4 linked regions of the Drosophila melanogaster genome follow. The protein of the gene in region 1 interacts with the protein of each later gene in a pairwise test. Each region holds a gene or a part of one and is shown in the gene's direction. Other genes may lie near its edges. The genes, in order: CG34331, Pebp1, Amnionless and CG14086.

Region 1 (4,897 bases):
CTACTGTATGAGATTTATGCCGTTTTGCCAATTAGTCCATCAATTCCTTTCGTTCTGGCTTTGCATTTGTTGAATAACAATTGGCTAAAAAGCACTTTCAAGCCAGCTTTGTCCACACATTTGCATATGTATTTCATCACTTCCCGATGACAGCTGGGGGGTACGATACCATATTCTACAACTACTATCCAAAAATATATAGGCACGGAAATAGGGCCCTATGTACAATGTAGTCCTCGTCTTCCGGATGTTAACATCTTCACTTCGCTCGGTTTCATTGACTTTTCCCATGGGTGTGGGTAAAAAAGGCTGCGAAAATGGGAAAATTCGGGGTGGGGTTGCCTCTTGGCAGATGTTCCCAGTGTATTACATTTGAGCGCCGTAATTATTATTATTATTATTATTATTATTATTGTGTAATGTTATCATGATTATTTTTATGGTTTTTGCATTTTAAAACAAATGAGACTCGAGTATAGAAGCTCGCATGTATGCTGGCGGGTGCGCCAAAAATTACCCCAGAAATGGTGTTTTTATGTGGCTTTAACTGCCTGTCCGTTGCCCATCAATTTTACTAACTTCTGGCGAAATGACAGCGGCAGGGAGAAAGGAGAAATGTGAAAGCAGAAAGCAGAAAAGGAGCAAGGATACCAGCTCCACGAACATAAAAATCAAATTTCCGCGTAAATCGTTCGCTCAACATTTGTTATTTTGTGTACAAAAACGGAGAAAATCAGCGAAATTGTAGCCGTTTCCCCACAAAAATAATGTATAACATTTTGGCGAAAAAGTACACTTTTCCAATAAATAAGGGAGTGGCCAATGCCGATGATTCGAGGTGGTTCCAAGTAAATCAAACTCAAACAGCTCTTCAATAACATTTAACACTTATTCGTTGGAAAATATGTGACATGTTGAAGAAGCCCATAATCGACTTTATTTATATATGCATATAAATATATTAATATTATTCAGAATCACTAGCCGAGTTGATATGAACATGACCCCGTCCATTTGTCCGTCCGTAAAAACTGAGAAATCTAACAAGATCGTAAACTATTAAAACTAGATAGTTGTTGGTCGCTGTTTTGAAAACTGTTGTTTTTTAAAGTTTAAATGTAAACATAAACAAAAAATTAAACAGCCGCTAGATGAGGCTCCTACTTGCATATATACACATTTGTCTGCGGACGCTCTTAAGCCGAGTAATGGGTATCCGATAGTCGATAAACTCTATAGACTATAGAAATCTGTCTAGATTTCGTATTAATTATTATACATTTAATTGATACAATTTTACGATTTGTAGGCTCGTCTAGAGTTAAGTCGCAGAAATGCTCTCTCAACTCAAGCGGATCCAATCTGAAACTTGAGCCAAACCGAGGCGCAATCGCGAATGGGCAGATACTCGGGGAGTGCGTCCAGTTACAGTGATTAGAACGCGCGAGAGCTGAGAGCTGGGCTCGGTGACCTTGAGCGGGAAGTGAAACTGATAAGGCGGCACAATGGAGCACTGGAAGTGGATGCTCGAATCGAAATCTTGGAAACGGAACGGCATCAGTTGCTTCTTGCTTGCCACCGAGATGAGCGCAATAAAGCCCGCCCTGCTGCTCTGCCTGATCCTCACCATCGGTCTGTTCCTTGGTCAAGGTCGGGCGAATCCCGTGGAGACGAATGTTCCCGATATTCCCGCACCCGATGCCAACGAACTGGGCATCGATTTCGGAGAGGAGGAAGATGCCACCGACAAGCCACTGGGCATATTCACGATCAAGGTGCGCCACATTCAGCCGGACCCCGCCCACTGCGCCCAGCTCTCGCCACATCACCCACACCACCCCCAGTGCCACAGCTACTGCAAACGCCAAGGTCACTGGGTGGGCCAGTGCAAGAAGGACATCTGTCAGTGCTTTTCCTAGGTCTACTTCGACTGTAAGCCAAAACAGCGTTTTTTTTTTTCTTTTGTTGAGTGCAGCACAACTATATGACGAAATATGTGCAAATATGTTTATCTACCAACTAGTATATATATTAAAACTGGCAATGAACAATGAAAGCGAATCAAAATTGCTCAAATCATACACATAATATGTAGTCTTTGACCTTCTAACATGCACTGAATAGAAAAAGCAGAACCTTAATAAATCTTCAAGTTAAATTCAATTCCATTGGATGCTACATGGATTTTGGGTTTCTGGAGAACTAGTGTATGTTGGTTTTTAAAGGAATTTAGCTGAGCATTCAATCCGAAGTGTGATATAAAATGGAATATGTGATGGTAAAATGAATATTCATGGATCGACTTGCCCATAACCCAACCATTCCCATCAAGCGAAACTTTTGCAACATTATTGCTGTGCTAATTACCAAAATGGGTCCGGTCCGCATGTTATTATAACTTACGGGTTACTGAGATCGGTCAGGAGTGAAAAGAATTTCCAATTAAAACGAAATCCAAACTGAACTTCAAGGAGTCTGCGATTTAATGAATGTCATTGAGGGCCCCAGCCGCACCAATTATATCCATTAGTTGACATTTACGCAATGGATTGCGGATTTGAAGGAGGTGAAGTGGCGGTCCGAGGTCGCAGATACTCACATTATTGGCCAAGTTTGATTGATGGCATTGTTCTGTGCAATAAGCTGCAGGACTTACCCCAAGTGCCCCCCATCTGGATTCTCTCGGCTCTTCTGGGCTTCAGTGGGAATGCCCAAATCATAGCTTTGCCTAGTTAGATGTGACAAGGAAAATGGGTAAATGCGAAATAGATTTTCCATCCGTGTTGGCTCTGGCATTTCTATTCTATCCTCCTCACACATGCTGTAAACTGATTTTAGCTCAATATAATGTGACGTCTCTCGCTTTTGATAAGGGTTCTCCTCTCGGCCGGAGGCTGTCAAATGATAAGCAGCAGACAAGCCCAATAAAAGGGATATAGGCGGCACGAATGGCGAATTGTTATTATTATAACACTTGCCCGGGAAGGAGGGTTCGAGGGTTTCCCAAAAACAAGGCACGCACGAATGCCTTTCTAATTAAAAATTCAAAAACCTTTTTTCAGCCACTCACCAAATTGGCGAATTACGTGCCAAACAGAAAGAAAGAAGGTTCCCAGCTCGAATGGTGGAAGTATGAATTATTTATAGATATATGATTTTTATAAGCACACGCATTATAACAATTGAATCGCAATGGCTGGGATCAATGCAGAGGTGAATATTCCAATTAAACTGTTATTGATGCTTTTTTAAAACAACTTAAAGTATGCACACGCCAGTCGTATGAATATAAATATACCTATATTCCGAAGACATAAACTTTGACCCGCCTTTGCAAACTTCCCTACGTACATAATAGTTCATGATCATGATGAAATTAAGTTCCCTTAAAGTGAGTACAAGTTTTTTGAATATTATGTTTAGTTTTTGGCCTCATTACATCTCGTCCGATTAGATGCTGGGCCTTATTAGTTAGATTGTTAATCGTTTTGGGGCAGCAGGTAAGTCGCCTAGGAGGGATGGTTGGTGGGTGGGAGGGGTTACTTAACTGGCGCCGGGGGACACGGGATGGCGAATCCAGGATGCAGGCAGAGGCTCCACATTGATGGCAGATACTCCCCCAGCTTACATATAAAAATATACATACATATTTTCGTGTATATCTTTATAATAATTTGTTTGCCAGCAAAACTCTCCCCGGGGCACATTTAACTAAGGCACAGCCAAGGACAGCATTGATGGAGAAGTGGAAGGATGGGAGGGTCCTGCCGAAGGATGTGAGGTGGCGAGTATGCCGGCCGAACTGACTGCTCGTGGCAATTATAAATTGTTGAAAATAATTTCATTAAATATGTAAAAAGGCGACGCCGAATAGAGAAGCGTATTAAAGGCCGGCAGTGGGATCCTTTGGCTGCAGGAGTGTGTGTGTGTGTGTGTGTGTGTGCTCCCAACTACGTGCCAGCTATTAACTTTGACCCCCCCCCCCCCATCAACAGCACCCCAGGATACAGGAACCCCGGGACGCTGCCGCCACCTATCGTTGCGACCCTCGAACTTCGCCCCCCACTTCCGATGGCCTCGGGAAAAAGTTCCCCACCTTGAGTGCACATTGTGACGAAGATGTGATGCCAGTGCCGAGAGCACTAAGTAACTTATTAGCCCCGGGAAAAGTCGGCTTTTGGGCACATTCCATTTGCTTGCAAATTTAATGATTCCACCAAATGAAATTTCATTCTCGCTTCGCAATTGTTCATTTCACCTGCCGCGGAGAGTGCCATTGCAGTCCGCTGCAGGAAACTAAGTTGGCAACCTAATGAACCCTTACTGGACAAAAAAAAATCATTGGAAATGCGAAAATACAGTCTGCACTCGAAGAAATGGACAGCACATAGCCAAAGCTATGAGAGCATTGCAAACAATATCTTTATGGAACATTTCGGATTGAGAAAAAAAGATGATTTAATACAAAATAAAAGAAGCATTTGAAATACAATATAAATATATTTATCTTATCTGAAACAAACATTTGATAGCGATTCGCATTAAATTTCATTTAATTGAATTTATACAATTTAATGGATTTTTTTTCACGAAAATATATAATCATTTTCTTACTCTGTGCTTCTGTTCACTCTGTTATGTTTCCATTAACATGAGCATATATGGCCAAGTCAAAGAAGTGTGTGCAAAAAAAGTAAAACAAGAGATAATTGATTTGTTATTTCCATTATAAAGCTTACTCGCTTCCTGCACGGGTCATAACTTTGCGTGCATATTTCGGAGAAATGAAAATTATGAAAAATTCTATGTCTCTTAAGGATCTTCCACAGGGATTTCCTGCGCCACTTAGCCGCCTCGTCGCACTCACAGCCACTCCCTTTCTGCATTTCAGTATTTC
Region 2 (2,717 bases), on another chromosome or scaffold:
AAATGCAACTAAGCGTATTTAATAGACCAAAACTCTGTCAGCGCTATCAATATTGATATTCAAGTGTTAATAATATTCGAATTGTTTAATAAATAAATTAGCATGATATATACTAAAAATGATGTGTTTCTCATTGGTGAAAGGGTATCGTTATATGGCTTTTCCCTATATCGAACTGATATGCCCAACAATAGAACGGAAAGGTACGATTACAACCTCATAAATGGGTGATATACAACTTTATGATCAGCCCACAAGTGCTGTCTTCGCTATCACGTGTGCACATTGGTTCAAGATCAGCTAAATCCTGAAATTAACGTCACAATTATTGATGATGTTCAACGAAGTGAAAACTAGTTTCTAGCCATGAATCATCGCACCAATGGAAGTGATCTTTGCGTTTTGGGAAAGCAAAAAAGGGCCTAAAAATGCCAGTTGGCATAAAAGCTTGCTTATCGTGGAAGGGGCTTTTCACAATTTTCCATCGGCGCTAGAAATCAACATTGTCCAATCAGTTCACCCACTGCGATAAAGTTTATTCCGCTGTGTCCATTAAACTATTATTTCTAGGTGTTAGCTGTTGCCAGCGCTGGATAGCCTTGACTGGTTTCGCCATCCAGATACTAATTAATTGGACTGGAAATTTTAATAAATCCGTAGATATCCGCTGAATCAGAGTGAAGCTTTTGCTTTGTTATCACCCAGCTGGCTTGGTCAGCAGAGTGATAACGCCACGAAAAAAAAACCGTATTATCATCTTTTTGGGCTGACACGCTACACGTAACATGGATGACATAGTACCCGATGTGCTGGATGCGGTTCCCGCTGGCACCATTAAGGTCATCTATGGCGATGACTTGGAGGTCAAGCAGGGCAACGAGCTAACCCCCACCCAGGTGAAGGACCAACCGATTGTCAGCTGGTCTGGGCTGGAGGGAAAGTCCAACCTATTGACCCTGCTCATGGTGGATCCCGATGCACCGACTCGTCAAGATCCCAAGTACCGTGAGATTCTGCACTGGTCTGTGGTCAACATTCCCGGCAGCAATGAGAATCCTTCTGGTGGCCACTCCCTAGCGGACTACGTTGGATCTGGACCGCCCAAGGACACTGGCCTGCATCGGTATATTTTCCTCCTCTATCGCCAGGAGAACAAGATCGAGGAGACGCCCACTATATCCAATACGTATGATATATATTAAGATATTTATCAGTTTACTGTGACACTGATCAATTCCCATTCACAGTACTCGCACAGGCCGTTTGAACTTCAACGCCCGGGACTTTGCCGCCAAACATGGATTGGGCGAGCCCATTGCCGCCAATTATTACCAGGCCCAGTATGATGACTATGTGCCAATTCGGAATAAAACGATCGTAGGCTAGATTTGTGCATATATCATGCAGGGTTTTCAATTCCCCGTCAATAAAGTTTAACCAATTGCTTATCTCGCTATCTATGCGTTGGGGTATTAACTGAAAAGTGCACGGAACTGATTAGGCGGCGGACTCCGTCGATAAAAGGCCAGACATCAGGGATCCGGGCCAGAGTCAACTCGCTAACGCTACACCGAGCAGAAGCAACAGAACTACCAGCTAACATGGACACCGCCGGCATTATTCCCGACATCATCGACGTCAAGCCCGCCTCCAAGGCCACCATCACCTATCCTTCCGGCGTTCAGGTTGAGCTGGGCAAGGAGCTGACTCCCACTCAGGTGAAGGACCAGCCCACTGTCGTCTTCGATGCCGAGCCCAACTCCCTGTACACCATCCTGTTGGTGGACCCCGACGCACCCAGCCGCGAGGACCCCAAGTTCCGTGAGCTGCTCCACTGGCTGGTGATCAACATTCCCGGCAACAAGGTGTCCGAGGGCCAGACCATCGCCGAGTACATCGGTGCTGGACCCCGCGAGGGAACCGGCCTGCACCGCTACGTCTTCCTGGTGTTCAAGCAGAACGACAAGATCACCACCGAGAAGTTCGTGTCCAAGACCAGCCGCACTGGCCGCATCAACGTCAAGGCCCGCGACTACATCCAGAAGTACAGCTTCGGCGGTCCCGTGGCCGGCAACTTCTTCCAGGCCCAATACGATGACTACGTGAAGACCCTCATCGAGACGGTCCAGTAATCTGGCCACCAACTGATCAGCTCTCTGTGAAATAATAAATATTAAATATGTACTAGTTCTCATAAAAGTTATCTCATACATGCTTGTGGGCGGGTCTTTTGCTATGCGATTTCCATAAGCAGCTGAAGTATATTTTTATAAGAATTACTTTTGATAACATTTCCGGAATTAATTTAAACTTGCCCGAGGCTTTGATATCTTTCTTTGAAGTTAAGTTTATAAAAGCGAGAGAAAGAAATGTTTATAATTAATCATTTATTTCCCTTTCGCTAAGTTAGGAGATATGGTTATTTTTCAATTTATTTCGAAATGATTCATTGAATAGATAACAATATTCTTTAACTTAGATATGAATTTGATTCATCAAAACTATCAGTTTCCTTTTAAAATTCGAACTTTGAACACCTGCATGCTCATTTCTGATAACTGCTTTCACATATAACGAATATCCATCCAACTTCAAGTTACCATTGTTAAACAAGTAATGAGTTTGGATCCATGAAAGCTTAAATATATTGGTTAATCTAGTTATTTTTGTTAAAGAAATCGGCCACCAGTTTGTTAAACTCCTCCGCATAACGTAAA
Region 3 (4,088 bases), on another chromosome or scaffold:
CTACTGGTCGCTGGTAAGTTAATTTACGGCGTGCCCATCGAAAGCGCCACAAAGATACAGAGATACATATGTGAGAAATTATGGGAAATTAAAAAACAAGACGGAAATGCGGCCAGCATCGGTTGTTTCAAGTGTTGAGCTCGAGACCAGAAAAATCAGCGAAGGAAAAATTATTTATATTCTAGGCCCGTATGCCGATGTTCGGGTTTATGTGTGCCATATGTTTGTTTATTTGTTTGTCTGTTCGCTGGGGATCGCCCCCTTTCCCCTTCGATTTTCTCTTACTTGCACGCTCTTTTTATCGGCCAGGCGGGGTCAACAACTGTGGAATACGGAGGAGTATCCGCCAGATACGGGAGCTGTGCTCGCCGAATTTCCTCATTCGCGCTGCACTTTTCCCTGATGGCAATGCACATTCCGTGTGGGAAAGCGTTTTTCGGCATTTTCTCGCCCCAAGTGTTTATTTGCTCAGATGTTCGCGGTTTTCCAGATTTTTGATTCCACTTCTTGACGAATGCGAGATTATCTGATGGGCGCCAATGTAAATGTGCCATACGTGGCAGTTGGCTTCGATTTGGTATTCTGCTATTCGGTGCTTCTGACGCCTCATTTACATATCGTTAAATTGTTAGAAAATCGATGGATTATTGCATTTTTCTCGCAGCTCCTTGGCAACTGGCACAAGCGAATGTTTCATTGTTGAATTGGTGAACGAATTTCATTTCGAATGGGTAAATAAATATGTCTTGAATTTCGGCCCACAGAAAAAAAAAGAAAAAATGTATTAAATAAGGAAATTAACGTCACTTAAGAGAAATTGTACTTGTAATTGAAGAAAAATGTATGCTGCCACAAATCTGGTTTTAAAATGGGCTATAAAATACATACATATATATAACGAGTCCACTTCTGATGTTATCTCCATACATTTTTCTCAACTTGACAATATTTCTGCTCAATCTCTTTAAGATATGACCCAGAAATGAAGATATTTTTGCATTAATTGCATTTATTCAAGAGAAGGAATTGTGCTCTTTTTTGATACGATGCTTTTACATATGTACATATTTCCACACCACGGCTTTCCATTTCCGTGCGTCTTTCCAGGAACATCTTAGTTTGTTATTGCATGACCTTGCTCGCCCTTGATTAACGCCGTCTGTCCCGCAAAAAGTACTTTGATCTGGTCAGCATAAAGTGCTTTATATCTACAGATCTTTTTCTTTTATGTAGTCCCTTGAAACGATCACGAGAACTTTTCGGTGCCACTACCATCCGGTTCATTATTTTCGTTGTCGAATTTTTACCTTTCTTCTGGTCTTCTGGGCATCTTAAAAATCTGGTGTGCTGAAATTGTTTATATCGGCGCAATCAAAATACAAATAAACTAACTATGTTCTGACAAACAATTGCATTGTTGAAGCAAACGTGAAATTATCTGTGTACGCTTTTTGCCAAATTCTCTTCGATTCGAAACAATTTATTAGTAAAATATATTTAAAGAAAAGATTTAGGTTTCGATCCACTAATAGGATTAGCTGTGTTTAGAATAAAAAAAAAATATATATATATAAGCAAAATCTTTGTGGAGAATATAAAGCATGAATTCCATGCTTTTCCAAATGTCATTTACAAACACAATATACATATACAAACTCCATTTATATTTTTATAAACATTGAAAAGTAACTATAAGTAACATAAGAACATGTTCCCAAAAATGATAGGGTATGAGTTGTCCCCATCAGCCTGATTTCCCTTACATCTGCTGTCCATCACCCCTGTGTTTATTTGCTCTCGTTGGTTCCAATTCTGATTGTTATCCGCCCCCAAATAAGAGGCAACATCATCGAATGGAATTCTCCGAACGTTTCAGATTTAGTTTAGAGTTCACTGAGTTTCCACGATGGGTTTGCATTGGCAATGGCTGATCTGGGCATTGGTGGGGCTCCATGTGGCACTGGCCACCAAGTGGTATGGCGGTGGAATGGACTTCAATGATCCCACCGCCTGGCTAGATGACCACTTGCCTTGTGCACAGGATTTGGTCGTTTTTCCAGAGTACTACCCAGCTCTGCTGCCCTTGCCCGAGGACATATCCATTGATGGCTTGGTTTTCCCCAGAGAAGGGGCGATCCTTTTGGCAGAGGAATCCACCATTACCTTTGGATCTGATAAGCAGCCCTCCTGTGAGAGCGATGAGAATAAGGCCTATTTGAAGCCACCGAAGTCGAGTAAATGGTTCGATCCTGGCACCTGGACGGACAAATCTAAGGAATTTTCCACATTCACACCAGAGCTGGAGAGGATTCCCTGTGATGACGAGCAGGTCATAATCAAGGGGCACGGACCATTGGCCTTTGACCTAGAAAACGTGCAGTATCTGAGGCTGGGACAGCTTATTCTGGCTGGTTCTTCCATTTCCAAAACGTACTTGGAGCAACTTATCAGCAGAGATCTGGGCCAGTTTCTCTTTTACAATGCCGAGTACGTCCAGGTGGAGTACTACAGAGGAGAGCTGTGTGGCTGCCACAAGGACTTCGAGCGACTGCTGGAACCCGTTTGCCATAATGTCCAGGAGCAGTGCGAGACGCCCCACTGCTTGTCTCCAGTTCGACCCTTGGGATCGTGCTGCCTAATCTGCGGGGCCATTCTATCCACGCCCACGACCCACTGCACCGAGGGCAGTAGAAAGGAGTTGGTGGCCCAGATAAGTAACCTCATCAGCCAGGAGAGCCTGAAGGATCAGATCGGCCTACACGTGGAGTTTGTGGGCTCCCAGAAGTTTGGAAACTGCCTGCAGGCGGTGGTAACTGATCGCCATAAATATAGTGAACGGAGCTTGGAGTTTCTACAGCAAAACGAACACAATTGGAACAAGACAGGAACAACGTTAAAAGTTTCTGGTCGACCCTATAATCCGAATGTTAGCTTCTCCTCGATTGTTCTCATCCTTTTCTGCATGGCACTGGTGGGTCTGGTTTCTGTGGTCATTTTGGCGCACTTTATGCCTGAGAACCCCTACCTAAACCGCATACCACAGTGGATCCACGACCCCCGTCTTTGGAGGTGGCGTCACTTGGGATTGAGACTGCGCCGGAATCTGCTGTTTAACCGCTTCGACAATGGTGGCGCAGAGGGTGGATCCAGTGAAGGAGGAGCTTCTGGTGTGGATCGTCTGGGAATTATGGCTTACGATCCGGAAAGTGGCGAGGTGAGGGAGCGAGCCTTTGACAATCCGATGTTTGAGCAGGGAGGAGCTTTGGAGGAGGCTGCCAAGGAGTCGCAGGAGCAGGATGAAATCCTGAGTGTCCCCAAAATGGAGACTGGTGATCTGGACGCCAGAAGTGTGGTGGATGAACAGGAGCTTACGGAAATCAATTTGGAAACCTGCGAGGCGGACACCGACGAGGAGACCATCTAATTAAGATTCTCAAAAATAAGACATAGAAACCTGATTCGAAAGCACCAATGGAGCATCACGTATAATCTGATGTACAATTTTAAGATTGTGTGTTCTATATATGTATATTAATAGATCTGCTTATTAAAGTATTTGTTATGATTACATTATAAATGTTCCTGGGCGCAGATGGTCCAGTAATTAACTCTATTTACAAGTTGTAGGCGGATCTGCGTGAATATTTTCGGATATTATTGTTCAGTGAATCAATTACTAACGCACAATCGATGCATCGCGTGTAACGAAAGGGCAAAGAACCAAGAGAGCACCTGATAATTTTACCAGGTAATTCAGTTAGCGGTGCCTTTTGTCGCGATGGCCTTGTTCCTTGACCTTCACAGGGGGTGGATTGGTGGTGATGGGACCGGGAAACGATAGTTGCCATTAGCTGCGAAGATATTTCCAGAAGCCTTTGTCCCCCGGCTCATAAATGTGGCTCATGTGTATCCGTATCTATTCATAGACACGCTTGGGAAGGCACGTGCCTCCCCCAGTTGCCATAGGATATGAATCCGTAGATATGCACGGATCTAGGGACGTGGGACGGAGGCGTACCGATGCGGATTAAGCGACCGCTTTCGGATTTCATTTTAGCTTCTGCCAATTCATTCTGAAGTGGAAATAC
Region 4 (6,302 bases), on another chromosome or scaffold:
ACATTACAATAAATGTAAAATTTTGTTTTTGCAAATTACAACTTTTTTCATTGTGTACAGTGTAAGACCAATTGCAAGCATAGAAGACCTGGACAAACGACTCCAACTGCAGGAGGCGGTATCAAGGACGACCTTCAGAAGTATTTCGCTAGAATCCTCGAGCTGTTCCTTAAGGAAATTAACTTTTCAGAGTGTGGGGCATCTGTGAATTATGTCGTAGATGGCGGCGACAGTGGAGACTTTCCTTGGGGCGACGGCTGCCACTTTGGATGTCATTAACGCCGCATAATGCAAACAAGCCTGACGACAGACACCTTAGCAAATGCACAGGACAATAAGCGGAGGAGCTAAAAAAATATTTACTCGTGCTTCCCCTCTCCTGAATTTGGCCCCCATTTAATTTATGAGGATGAGGGCGGTGTAGCAACCGAAAATGTTTTTGTCCACATTCTGCGTACTCGTCCGCCTCTTGGCAATTGCTCAGCTTTGCTCCTGGTTGTCTTTTGAGCTTCTTTACACCTCCCGCCGCTCCGCTCACCATTCAGCCAGTTATGAAAATTACTGAAACGTGGCCAAAGACGGGTGCGGGGATCCACAGGACCTGCAGGACGAGGGCACGCACACACAGAGCCGCTTGAGCAGTGGCAACAACATGAGGCACTGGCTTCACACACAGGACAACGTGACAAATAAAATCAAGCTGGCTTTGAGCAGTGGGCCGAGAATCCTGTTTTAGGCTTAAAACTTCAATATTTGTAATAGTTAAAGATTATCTTTACACCTGGTAGAATATTTATCAAGTGCATATAAGTAAGATTTTCGTTGTGTAAAATCGTAGGTAAATTTCATACTTCCCTCTTCTTTTACATTTGGAAAAATCGTAATCAAGTAAGCATTCGGGTGGGAATATATTTAAATCACACACAATATTAAGCTCTCGCCCATGGTGCCTTCTTGTAAAAAACCGCAGGACTATAAAGACTGACCCAATGCGCTACGCTACACAATAAATCGCGAGAGGAAACACTTTTTACAAAAAAAAAGAGATAAAACATACAAACAGTTCTAATTAAAATACTGAAGACAAAAAGAAAATTAATTATTTATTTGAGTTCCTTAATTATATTAACAATGTAATTCAAAAATTGTATTCCTACTACAATACTAAAAAAAAACCAAGTTAAATAACTTCTGATTGAAATTAAAGCATTATTCTAGTTAAAAATCAGCCCTATATTCTTGCTTTCAATTAATATATTTCAAGAGCATAGTTTTAAAGAATTCTCATACTGCCAACGCCAAATAAGTTTTCAAATACAAATGATAGTGGATGTCAAAAACAGCTAACCAATTAAAAACATCTTTAAAACAACATGGATAAATTTTGCGGTCTCCATAAATCTCAGCATTAAATCGCAAAAACGCATTTAAAAAGAAATAAACACTACGCGTTCGTTCTCGTAACAAATCAACTTAGCAGTTTCGAATGCAGCGCCGCCCCATTGGCTGGTATTTGGCTACAAAGTCAGTGGCAGTAGGAAAAGCAATGGGAAAAGCAGCCTGAGCGGCGACTCTGGATCCTGACTCCGAAAATAGAAACGAATCCTGGCCGGTCCTTTCATTCAGTTTCATTCTGCTGGCGCCGCTGGAAGCGTGCGGACGTTCGTTGTTTAGAGCTCGGCCATAAAGTCGTGTGGCAAAGTGGCACTTGACAAAAATAAAAAAAGTTACAAACCTTCAACAACAATAAGAAAAATATTTAATAAAAAAAATATATATTATAGAGGGCACACAACGTGCGGGGGCAAAGTGCAAATGGTAACGGTAATTTGCAGACATTAGTTGCCACACACACACACACACACACACACAAGCAAACGGTGCGGTGATTAAAGGCAATGGAAGGAGAGGTGCGAAAAATGTCACATTACGAATACGCAGTGTGTGCCCGAGTTAAATGGTGAAATTTAAAAGCTGTGCGAGCTGGAATTGAAAATATTTATCGCAAAGTTGTTTGGCCACTTAGTATGCCAGGCACGTAGTGCATTTTTGTGATGTGGATACGGCTCTTTGATTGTTTTATTAGCGATTCCCTTGGACAGGACCTAAAACGTCAGTTTCGGATGAGAGTATTTAAAGTTATGGAGGATTAGAAAGTAGTACATTGAAAATTTGAATTTAACCAAAAACTAAAATTGTTCTAAAGTGAAATTAAAAACGAATAAATATATTAAATAAATTGGAAATTAAGTAAGTGGAGCTTACACATTAATCAAAAATTTAAATGCTATGGCTTCGACTTTTGTCATCAGTAATAACGAAGGAGAAGAAAAACTTGAGCTCCAATAAATAAGATATTAAGAATAAAGCCGCACTTTTGGCGATTCATAAAACAAATATAGATAGAAATTCATAAAGTAAATATCTATATATATATATATATAACCAAGTCAGCCATGAGCCAGATGCAACTGCAATCGCAGCGCGTTCGCCGCGCCCGTCATCATCGCCGCAATCAGTCCGCAGAGCCGTGCGAGTGCCTTCGTCCTGTGATAAGGGTTTTTGGTCTGCTGACTTCATTCGGTAAGCTCAAGTGCGCGGAAATCCGAGCCAGTGGAATAAGACTTGTCGGTGCCGGTGCCCAGGTGACCCCCGTTTCGAGATAATGCCAATCTCGATACGAGGCTATGATGCATGTGCATGTGCATGCATTTATGTATGAATGTGCAATGCTTTTCTGGCCCTTATTTGGAATGTTTACCCTTGACAAATCGTAGGAAATACTTGTGCATGGGAACCATTGCCTCGGGATATGTTGAGTGCTGTGGCTTATTATATTTCTTGGCACTGAATGGGATTCGCAAGACGAAGACGATGCTGAATGGGGACACGCTCTTATTGGCTGCTTTTATTGTTCCTTTCAATTCATATAATATTACTCTTTGAGCAATATTTTCATTGTACACAAAGGTTTTGCATTTGTTTGAGAAGACTGGCAAAATAAATGTACATAAAAGGAAATGGTTTTCCATATTCACAGAGCACATATAGCACAGAATATGTGCTCTAATGAACAGGATATTTGACCTAATGTAATTTGGTAAAATAAATAAATGCCATCCAATACTACTGAAATTCCAGTTTAGCTTAACAATTAAATAGAACACAGAGAGTAAATTGGTAGAAGATTAATTTCCCTTTTTTTGCGTCATTTAATTACAATTCAATTATGCTTTTTTTGTACAACCCAGCTTTGTGTTACATTTTTTCCGTTTAAATTGAGGCAATAATTTTAGATTGACAGCCTGAAATTTAATGGCATTTCGTTTGTCAATTTACGAAGTCAAATTTAATTTATTAAACAGGCAAGGTAAAGTGAAGCAAAAACTTAATAAATAATAATATTACCTTTCTGAAATGAATTCAGTTTGGTTGCACAACGTAACTTTTTCACCCTGTATCCGCATTCTAATCTACGAAAATGCAATCACATTTTTTCATCCCAATTTTTCTGCCATCTGGTGAAGTTATCAAAGTTGGCTTAAACGCTTATCGTGGCCAATCATAACGATTTTCCTCCACCATCTGACATTTTCCTAATGCGCTTAAGATAGTGCACCGCCGTTTTTTTATACAGAATTTGATAAATCGCCCAGCTGCAGGCAGGCCAACAAAAACTTCGGGTCAAGTTCAAACTAATTTCTTTGCAAATTGTTTTGGGGTCCATCATGGGTGCAGTGGCACGCAGGAAAACAAAGTATAAAATCTCTGTAGTTCATAAGCTCCGCATTATAGGGATCGGGTAAGAGGGATGGGGTTTTCCAAGGAAACTCTCTGGCAGAGCCATTAACAAGGCATTGGCCTCTATGCAGCTTGCAGCTTGCAGCTCACGACTGGCATCCTGTGCCAAGAGCAGAGTTTTCCCAGCCCGATTTTCCCCTTATCAGCAACTTTTCCATACGGTCGACAATGAGCTGTGTTGTTAGCCTTTAGGCGCCAGCCATTCGCCAAGTTTTCCTCTTGCCCGGCATCTATTTTTCCCCCACCGCTTTCAATTATCCAGATAATTTTTGCATGTTTTTTCGATTTCCGCTTTTTCAATTTTTATCTCCGTTGACAGCATTTAATGTAATTGGTTTGGTTTCGGTTCTGCAGTTGTGCTTAAATATGGGGCATACATATACATATATCTAACTGGCTAATCTGATTGGTTTTTCGCGACCCGGCATAATAAAAACAACTTAATTAGATTGTATTTTTATGGACCACTGGGCGTGGTGGCTCCATAACCACATCTAACCATATCTTATACACTCAAAGTGGATTTGGCTAAGACAAAATGTGAAGCGGAACCATAATGTGGTTAGAATATGAATGCCCTGCGGAGGGCTGTTCGACAAAAATATAGAAACCTTTTAAGTTATAAAATTTAAGTTCGTCATGAATATTGAAGTTTCTTCCAAGCTATTTATTATTAATTATCATTATGTTATTTCGTAATGTGTAGGACATTGCCTTCTTAAAATACTCTATTGCAAATGATGTAAGCTTCAGTAAAATTGCGATAAACTTCTTGAGCTCACCTCGTTTCCATTCATTGGTTTTGTATTACATTTTATGGCCAAAGCATGGTAAACAAAAAAGGCCCAGCTCAATAAATATGCTTATAAATATATTTGCCTAGACACACTCACATTATTTTATAGGCTCGTTCAAGGATAACACTCCTCGTTTCAACCCGCCAAAAAGGACCCCCCGCACCGAACCTTTCTTTAGCCATTTTTCATTTCAGTTATCTGCGGCGTTGGCGTTGATGTCTACATGCATGGCTATCGGGCCGGTCTTTATATAGTGTAAGTCACGGATCTAAATATCCCCCATAACTATACTAATTTCTGGTTAGTTTTTCAGCCGTGCTGGTAATGTTTATCGAGATCAAGTGGCTTGTGACTATCTTCCTGCAACTTCAGTGCGCAGAGTAAGAAAACTATTCAAGATTACCAAATAACATGTTCATAAATTATAGTTATTCGTATATATATTATTTGATAATTAGCAGTTATTATTTATGAAATATAGAAATTCTAGTTACCAAGCCTAGTAGTTGTAAAACTAATTAAACCCTAATTATACTATAATATGATATACTTTACTATTATATACAATACTCTATATCAAGTGCCTTTGCTCAGATTTTTCTCTGCAAATTTTTCTCTGTTCACATATTTGTGAATTCAATTTGTTTCAGGGATAATTACCAGCGAAGGTCCTGCAGCTGCTTGGCCTGCTGGCGACTTTCAGCGATTTGTGGCGGTTGGCGACCCACTCCTGTTTATGCGGTCATCGGCATCTGCCTGATCCTGTATCCCCACAATCTGTGGCTGAGTTATGTGGCCGGGATGTTCCTGATACTCCTCGGACTCCTCAGACTGTGCACGCTGCTCCGATTCAGCGCCTCGAAGGAGGAGGGTCTCCTGCCGCAGTGCGACTTTGAAAAGTGATGCCAGCCAACGAATGTCTTTGTTATTTGTTTCTAATGTCTGTTTGTTCTGCGATGATAGGGTGTCGAGCTTTGTGGATACCATGGAGGATGATTTCGCGGAGATTGGTGCCACGCAAGCGGGATTGGATGAGGAAGCGGAGGAGGAGGGCGACGACCACACCGCCCTAGACGACGATGTTTGCTAATAGTTTAAGCCAGCTTTTCTGCCTAATGTAATGTGAGATTTTAAACGACTTAACAAATGTCTAATAATATACAGTTTGTAAAGAGGTTTCGATTTAAACGCTGAGTGCGTGGTATATTTTTATAGGTAATCGATAAACCCACACTTTGTATGATTTTTGGTGTCATTTATAAACGAAGCCACTCAAAAGTCAAAAAGGACATTCTTCAAAAGAATTTTGAAAGTTCCTTTTAAGTATTGGGTATCTGCTTTTTACCTACAGAAATAATTATCAAAGCTATTTCGTTTTAAATAATGTTATTTTAATTTCGTCTTTTATTGTTTTTTGTGCTAAACGGATTTCTGCGTTCACTAAAGGCCAAAATGAAGGGCTGGTCGTCGAATTCTTCGGTTTTTCTCAGACCAAAAGAACGCTCATTGCCGTAATCATACTCGTCCTCATCATAGTAGTTATAGTAGTGCCTCTGGTGGCCTTTAGGGCCTCCATGTCCATGTGATGGAGGAGGAGGAGGTGGAGGATACGGATACGGTGGATATGAACCTCCGGGATATCCAGGAGGACCCTGAGGACCAGGTTGGCCAGGGATTCCAGGCATCCCGGGGTGGCCCTTATCT

The links.
Region 2: the proteins of CG34331 (region 1) and Pebp1 interact in a two-hybrid assay, tested with the Drosophila melanogaster proteins (one large-scale study listed by BioGRID).
Region 3: the proteins of CG34331 (region 1) and Amnionless interact in a two-hybrid assay, tested with the Drosophila melanogaster proteins (one large-scale study listed by BioGRID).
Region 4: the proteins of CG34331 (region 1) and CG14086 interact in a two-hybrid assay, tested with the Drosophila melanogaster proteins (one large-scale study listed by BioGRID).

What each region holds. Positions count from the first base shown.
Region 1 is NC_004354.4:20,120,901-20,125,797, forward strand, and holds CG34331 (uncharacterized protein), read left to right. Parts: upstream 1-1,552; 5' UTR 1,553-1,583; coding exon 1,584-1,775; coding exon of another isoform or gene 1,776-1,919; exon of another isoform or gene 1,920-2,161; intron 2,162-3,995; coding exon 3,996-4,208; 3' UTR 4,209-4,371; downstream 4,372-4,897.
Region 2 is NT_033777.3:22,464,490-22,467,206, forward strand, and holds Pebp1 (Phosphatidylethanolamine-binding protein 1), read left to right. Parts: upstream 1-1,544; 5' UTR 1,545-1,601; coding exon 1,602-2,132; 3' UTR 2,133-2,190; downstream 2,191-2,717. Other genes in the region: CG7054 (uncharacterized protein), read left to right, coding at 786-1,186, 1,248-1,386; CG5377 (uncharacterized protein), read right to left, coding at 2,657-2,717.
Region 3 is NT_033779.5:286,738-290,825, reverse strand, and holds Amnionless (amnionless), read left to right. Parts: upstream 1-1,681; 5' UTR 1,682-1,906; coding exon 1,907-3,424; 3' UTR 3,425-3,574; downstream 3,575-4,088.
Region 4 is NT_037436.4:19,274,137-19,280,438, forward strand, and holds CG14086 (uncharacterized protein), read left to right. Parts: upstream 1-1,654; 5' UTR 1,655-2,456; coding exon 2,457-2,583; intron 2,584-4,792; coding exon 4,793-4,853; intron 4,854-4,903; coding exon 4,904-4,978; intron 4,979-5,248; coding exon 5,249-5,497; intron 5,498-5,561; coding exon 5,562-5,688; 3' UTR 5,689-5,783; downstream 5,784-6,302. Other genes in the region: CG14089 (uncharacterized protein), read right to left, coding at 5,990-6,302.